Linked DNA regions of Drosophila melanogaster. The protein of the gene in region 2 interacts with the protein of the main gene of each other region in a pairwise test. Each region holds a gene or a part of one and is shown on either strand. Other genes may lie near its edges.

Evidence for each region.
Region 1: the proteins of corn (region 2) and p24-2 interact in a two-hybrid assay, tested with the Drosophila melanogaster proteins (one large-scale study listed by BioGRID).

The regions. Positions count from the first base shown.
Region 1 is NT_033777.3:9,690,727-9,694,481, forward strand, and holds the start of p24-2 (p24-related-2), read right to left. Parts: upstream 2,050-3,755; 5' UTR 1,974-2,049; coding exon 1,841-1,973; intron 1,779-1,840; coding exon 1,177-1,778; 3' UTR 1,017-1,176; coding exon of another isoform or gene 899-1,016; 3' UTR 820-898; coding exon of another isoform or gene 439-819; intron 378-438; coding exon of another isoform or gene 1-377. Other genes in the region: Unc-115b (uncoordinated 115b), read right to left, coding at 1-377, 439-749, 899-1,016; CG32939 (uncharacterized protein), read left to right, coding at 2,443-2,565, 2,628-2,783, 2,841-3,311.
Region 2 is NT_037436.4:7,155,347-7,159,101, forward strand, and holds the start of corn (cornetto), read right to left. Parts: upstream 1,728-3,755; 5' UTR 590-1,727; intron 1-589. Other genes in the region: CG8620 (uncharacterized protein), read left to right, coding at 2,901-3,464.

The DNA of each region.
Region 1 (3,755 bases), on a different chromosome or scaffold from region 2:
TTCACCCCGAATCCCTTCTGGTAGCACTTCTCGCAGTAGGGCACCGCGTCTTTGCCCATGTACTCCCCATTGAGCACCGCCTGGCAGGCCTTGCACCGGAAACAAGAGACATGCCACTGCCGGTCCAACGCCACCAGTGCCTGGCCCTCCTTCAGCAGCTCCCCACAGCCGGCACAGTCATTGGGATCGTAGTCCTCCTTGAGGTGCGCCTTATGAGAGATCACACTGCCGTGCTGCTGGTGGGCAGTGGCTCTCGTCGGACTCTCCGCCGGAGGAGCTGGCGAGGAGACGCCTCCACCCGTCGCCTGGCGACTGGGCGACACTGGAGCACCCGTGACGCATTGCTCGCAAAGCACCTCCTTTCCGGTGTTGGTCACCTGTGAGGAGGAATATGTGATTAGTTACTTATCACTCGATCTGTGGAGGGTTTCAGCTCACCTTACTGCCCGACTTGAAGGGCTGCTTGCACTTGGAGCAGGTGAAGCACTTCTGGTGATAGGTCTTGCCCATGGTGCTGACCACCTCGCCCTCCACATACTGCTGGCAATTTGCGCACTTGGTGCCGTACAGCCGCTGATAGTCCGGTATGCAATAGTAGGCGTTGTCCTTTGTGAAGAATCCGCCGGTGGCCAGGGACTTCTTGCACTGGCAGCACTGGAAGCAGGCCTTGTGGAAGTGGTTGTCCGCCACGCGGAGCACCTCGCCGGAGCACTTCTTCGTGCATTTCGCACAGTAGATTTTTTGTTTACCTGTTTGCGGGGAAAAGGGGACGAAAACGAAGGGAGAACTACGGTTAGTAGAGCCTGACATTAAATTCATTCAATCAGTACTATCGCCAGATTACGTATACGCAGTGTTGCGCTGATGTCATATGCATGTGATGCGATAATGCCCCAACCTTGCCCCGTTTTACCGAGCTCAGTTCGAAGCTCCGTTCCCAATGTGCTAGGGTATATCGGTCTGGTCTTGTCTGTTTGTGGATGTTTCGGAATGGATATATATATTAATATATACATCACAACTTATCGTATATCGTATGTTGCGAGATTCGTTGTATGTGTGTGTGCGTTGTTTCCCCCACACTTGTGTGCCTATGTAAGCACTTGTATTGACAGTCACAACCAGGCCAACTCTTCTACACACCCCGACATGGCCGTAAGTCGTTTGTAGTCTGACTCACGGGTCTGGCAAGCCATTAATCTTATCATTGATAAGGCCAAGGGCAGATATTTTCTTTATATAAAGACAGCACACACACAAACACTGCTCGTTAATGTACACACAAGTGTGGAACAGGTTAAATAGATGCCAGAAGCCCATGCAAACCAAGACGACGGTCTGGGCCAGCGACCACCAGAGCACGCGGGAGTTGGTGCTCTCGCTGGTGTGACGGAACCGCTCCTCGCGGTATCGCTGGTAGTTCTGCTCCTTGGTGATCTGCTCCACCTGGTCAAGTAGCTGGCGGATGCGCAGCTGCAGCTCAGTCAGTTTCTCCTTCTGCGCCACATGGGCGTAGTCGATAGCGTGCTCTCCCACCTGGATGTCCAGGTGAACACGCAGCTGGGCACCACTGAACCACGCGGTGCTGTTCGAGAACATGCAGATGACGTGCTCGCCAGGAGTGTGCGAGGTGAACGAGATGCGGCCCTGTGAGCTGTACACGCGGGACAGCACAATCTTGTCGTCGCTGTCGCGTACTTCCACATGCATGCCGATTCCGGGCGACGAGGGCATGAATCCATTAGAGCGCGGATCATACAGCTCTACCTTGTAGTTAACTGCAGGAGGACAAGTTAGTCGATTGGTAAAACTTCCAAGTTGGCACTAGGCTCTGGCTCACCAATCACAGTTGTCTCGTCGGGAACCTCCTCGATGAAGCACTTGCGCTCCGTCTGCGATATGTGGAAGTACAAGCCGCAGGCGCTGTGCAGGACGCACAGAATCAGGGCCAGGCTGATGAATTGGTCGCGCATTTTCGGCTATTTGCAGTGACTTTTTCGAGTAGTTCTTTAATAAAGTTAAGCTCGCCGACACGTCATGAGAAAAAGTGCCAGATCAAAGTCAGAGTGTTTGGCATGAGAGATGGCACCGTGATTGGGCTAGCTCACGGCAAGCTCACGAAAGCGATTCTTTTAAATAAATGGAACAAACGATAAATTAAAATAGTTATTCAAACAGGTGTACATTTAAAAAATAAGAGTTGAAGACTAATTTTCAAACATTGTAAAATATTATATCTAATAAATAAACTTCTTGCGATAGTTATTCTCACGCTATCAGTCTTGAGTTCTCTTTGCCGATATCTGTCTCGAGTGGCAACACCGCAGCAACAGCTGTTTTGCCATAAGAAGTAGTGGATTTTGCATCGCTTTGGACACACTGATTGATCGGTGTTTTTATTTTTTTTTGGTTCGGCTTATCTAATAATTTAATAACACATTAATGCAGCCATTTATTGTCATTCGCAACTACACGCAAGATGATGAGCTCAAGTGCCAGGAGCTGGTGCGGGACTACATCATGTCGTTCTCGAATAAGTCCTTTTTTGTCTATTGCTTTCGAGAGGTGAGACATCTTTATCTAGATCCCCAAACTCTATGAACTATTTGGATTTCAACTTTTTTCAGATCACCCTGCAGTTCATAGTCATCACGTGGGCCATATTCTTCATATTTCTGGGAGTGCCCCTGCTTTTTTGTGCACTCACTGTGCCCGCTTGCATATTTTGCCTATTTACCGGCACCTACTTCTCGTTTTACTCCAAGGCAGTGGAGTTGATGAGGGTAAGTGTTAAAGCATCGGCAGCAAAGTATCTCAAACTAAGAACGTTTACTTTCCAGACCAAACCATCGCAGTCTTTGGTGGCCGAGTGCTATGAACCCTTCATTTTCCGCTGCTCACCGAAGGAAGCTAGCTACCAGATATTTACCGAGAACTGTCCATACGAGGAAACATACACGAGGAAATTCCGGCGCAGGATTGTGGCCGCTATTAGTGTGAAGAATCACCACGCCGTATACAATGCTGCATGGATCTATCGCTTTGCCATCGATCCCCATTACCCGTGTCAGACGATCATGGACCCCATGATAAAACTGGTGGTCAAGAACTGCATTATCGGCGGGTACGCCTCACTGGAGTGCACTATCTCCGAGTGGCAGGAAAGTGAGCGCGACTTTTATGATGATTTTGGGTTCGTTACGCGGCAGATCTACCACAAAAAGATCATTGGCAGCAGTTTGGCAGTGATGAAAACCCAGCTGACCTATGGGTTACGTACCGACGGAGCAGCTTTGCACAAGCAAAACTAGTGCGTTACCAATGGTGCAATATAGATGATAGATAAATGGATTCTGTGGAATCTTATTTAATATTTACGTATTTATTCTGTGAACTTTACATTCCAGTCACATATTGCGTCCCGAACTCAAATCACACCGAATTATGCCCTTGATGGCGTTTCTTTATCGATTCGACAATGTTTAAAGCCAGTTTAGCCAATATATAGTAAGCTAATACTCCACAAACATTCCTGCATGTCGACAGACTTTAGCCGTTGTCGGCTCGACAAAGAGTAAATTCCGTCTAGGATTAAGAAGAAACTTTATAATCTCCACACTCGAAGTTTTAATAATTGTAAACACGTTGACACTGCTTTTGTCCTGTTTTATTATCTCTGGTTTATTCTTTGACATATTCTATTTAAATAAATAAATAAAATATTTAGTAATAAATAAAATTTGCGTAATGATTTA
Region 2 (3,755 bases):
CCGGAAGCCCCTCAGTCCGGCGGTCCTGACCTTTTTAATTTCAGCTAAAAACCAAAGCCGCACGACGCCAACACACCTCTGACCCACCACAACCACCCTCTCGCCCACACGACGATGTGGCTTCAACATAAGACGCAGCTCATATTCGATAACCACTTTCTACCCGCCAATGAGTTACAGTGGAGATTGGGTAAGCTTAACTTTTATCCTGATACAAAAAACAAAATATTTGCTTAAATTTGGCTTGTTACATAAGCAAAACTTTCATTTTCTTCGTAAAGAAAATTAATTGTACTTAAATGCTATGGAAAAACTATAAAATTTTACACGTAAGAGCCATTTGCCTTTCCCCCATATCCCACATCCATTATAAAAAAATATAAAAAGGACATTAAGATTTGTTAATCGATTTCAATTTAAAACTGACATTAACAAACAAAAAAACGATGTATCAGTTGGTATTAGTAAACTTTCTAAGACCAAGTGAAGGCAATTTCTAATCAGTTTGTGCTCAAAGCGATATTCTCTGCAATTTAACTTAGAACTCGCAGAATGTTCTACTTAGTGGCGTTCCACTGTAGCTACTCACCCACGGAGCTGGAGTTGAAGGAGGAAAACTGTGCCAGCGGTTGAGGAGGTTGAGGCTGCTGCTGGAGTTTCGTTCGTTGATTCGCTCGTTTGCTGTTTTGTTTGTTTGTTTGTCGGATTGTTGCTGTCTTTGTCGCTCAGTTGTTGTTCCTTTGGTGGGCGACGATGGAAATGTCAGAGGGTCGCGGTATTGGTATTACGGCCTCCCAGGGCATTCTCTTTTCGCTTGAGTTTTGATTTTTTTTTTTGCTTTGCCTGATAATTCTATTATTGCTCTCGCTCTCTTGGGGGGGAGTGCAAAATAATGGATGGCAATTCGCGGACGGAAATTTGCGAATTTAGCGCGTCGCTTCAATTTTGTGCAAATTGAATGCACAAACACTGAGAAGTGGAGAGAAATTACTAACTTCGGCGTTCTCCCTGTCTCCCACACACACACATACACGTGCACGCGCGAAATTTCGTGACAGCTGCAGCTGGAGAAGAAGAAGAGCATGAATGATCGCTCAAGGACTCGGTATCGTCCTGCCGTTTCCTCTCTCTCTTTCTCTCTCTGGTTCACTTCCTTTTGTTGTTCCGTTTACCTAACACAACGGCTTATTTGTATTGTCAGGACCAACTCACACACACGCACATACACGTACACTAGCGCACTGCAGCTGAGCCCAAAGGAAAAATCGATGATGAATCTGCGAATTAAAAGTCTATAGCCGCACATCGATTAATCTGCAGCTGAAGCGAGTCGCTTTAATTTAGTTTTTCAGCCTTGTTTTTGCTGCTTACGAGGAAAAAGACAGCAAGGCTTCGTTGAAAAACCCGTTCGGCGCGCAGGAAAGTCGGAAAAACGAAAATCGTATAGCGGCTTGGTAACAAAACGCGCCCACTCGCGGAAAACAACAAGTTTAAATATTAATTAAATCGATTTATATTTACTAAATCATAATATACATCGCTATTACTTCATGTAGGCGAGCAGAAGCACACTCCACGTCGAATTTATTGTTCGTTTGCTTAAAAAATCAGTTTCAATTGCCGCAACTCCGTTGGCATTAAAGTTATAACGATGTTTCTTTAATAATATTTTTTAATGGTAACCGAAAAAACAGCGCGCGCTGCTGCGCTCTCCCGAAAAATTACAGAGAGAATGCGTTGCGAGCTGCTTATATAGATTTTTAAAATATCAGAGAAACCAAATGATGGTAATGTAAAAATACCAAAGCCGGGAAATCGCGTTTTAACAGTCTGTTAACAGTCTGGCGTATCACACTGTTAATTCTCTTCAGCGGTTAAATGTATCTATTGGATGCGCCAAATATATCTTATCCATATTAACAGCTATTTTGATTAAGAAAACTTAGACTCGTTTAGTTTTATTTAAAATTTTTTAATAGTTTTGAATTATTATACCTTTTGTCGATTTTTAAATATAAGTAAACGTAAGGAATGATTTTAACCGCTTGTGGTTAAGACTGCATATTTTGGCGGGCACAATTCAAAAGCAATCATGAAAATACCACAATAAAAATACTAGTCTCAAGCGGTAATGTCTTATACGTAGTCTTATACCTTAAAATTAAATAGCAGTTCTGTAAAATATTTAACCGTTTAGTATTTCTAAAATAATGTGCTAAACCTGATTTATGCAATTATTAAGATCCCAAAACATTTTCAAAAAATTGTGTAAATTTCTTAATACTTTATATTCTTAAAATTTTCGATGATTTAAAACGATAAAATAATTGTTTTAAAATTACACACTTGGACGAAATTCAAAATTAAAATTATATCAAAATAATGTCATATTTCACAAAATCGTAAAAAATAATAAAAGGTATGCTTATAAAAATACGCAGAATATTTATAATGCATATAATATGCAGAAATACAAAAGTAAGAAGAATTTCGCAAAAATATGAAATATGTTTGAGGTTACGTTCGGCAATGAAATTATGTAACATTAAAAACACGTGATCAATGGAAGTAATTTCCCAAAAACCCATGAATGCGATTTGGTTAAAAATAGCTCAGATGACGTCACATTTATCGTGTGGTTTGTATGAGTATGTGACTGATAAAGAAAGGCAAATGTTTACAGTCCGAAAGTCGCGATTAGCTTGGCGCCAAAGTTGCCTATAAAAGCTCATCGACCGAATGCCGCAGAAGCCAGTCAAATTCAAGTGTTCAAGTGAAGCAGTCGAAACATAAGCAACAGATTCCGCAGCAGTTATATCCAGTTCAGAGAAACAGTAGTTAATCAGTAATTAAAGTGTTGAGTGAATTTCTTATCGGGTCAGTTGTAAACTAGTGCAAAAATGTCGCAATCCGATAACGTGGCACGTGAGCAAACTGCGGCAAATGCAGGGCCGGATGCATGTCAAGGATGCCGCGGCCAATTGCCAAATGCCACGCCCGTGGAAGTCGAGGACATGGCCTTGCCGTCGATGGAGCGTCTCATTCGAAAGGCCAACATGGCCCAGAAAATGCTGAACGATGTGATGAAACAGATCCAGAAGCAGCAGCAGCAGGAATCTCAACTCTCCATCAAGGAGACCAAGTCCAAGCACCGCAGCTCCGATGGAGGTAAACGACGACACAGAGGACGCAAACATCATAGTCATAGTCATCACACTAGCTCATCTTCCAGTTCCAGTTCCGACCACAGTGACTGCGAGCTGATCCTGGCGGAGAAGGAGGGGCACATGCCGCGGAGAAGACACACGCGAGATGACCGCAAGCGGGATCGTTCCCGGTCTCGCGGTCGCTCCCGTGGTCACTCGCGTGGTCGTTCTCATGGGCGTTCTCGTTCCAGGTCCTACACCGATTCCCGACGATCTCGAGCACTACCCCTGGCTCTGCCCGTTCGGATTTCAGTGTGAGTATCTGGCTTCATTCAGTATTATTCAATATTCATTTTATATATTAAGTGCGCATAAAAAAACCAAAAAAAAAAAAATAATAAAATATATAAAATATGAAAAAAATATTCAAATGAATTCTTTTTAATGGAGGGTGGGCTTATCTTTATTTTGGGTGCAAATAATACATACTGTTCAGGTATTCAAGATAATAAGTTACATTCGTTGATGAAATGCTGATTTAATTTAGCATTCATATTTACCAAAGTTGTGAAATATTTGAACCATTTTTCTGAGAAAATAAAGTTCAAA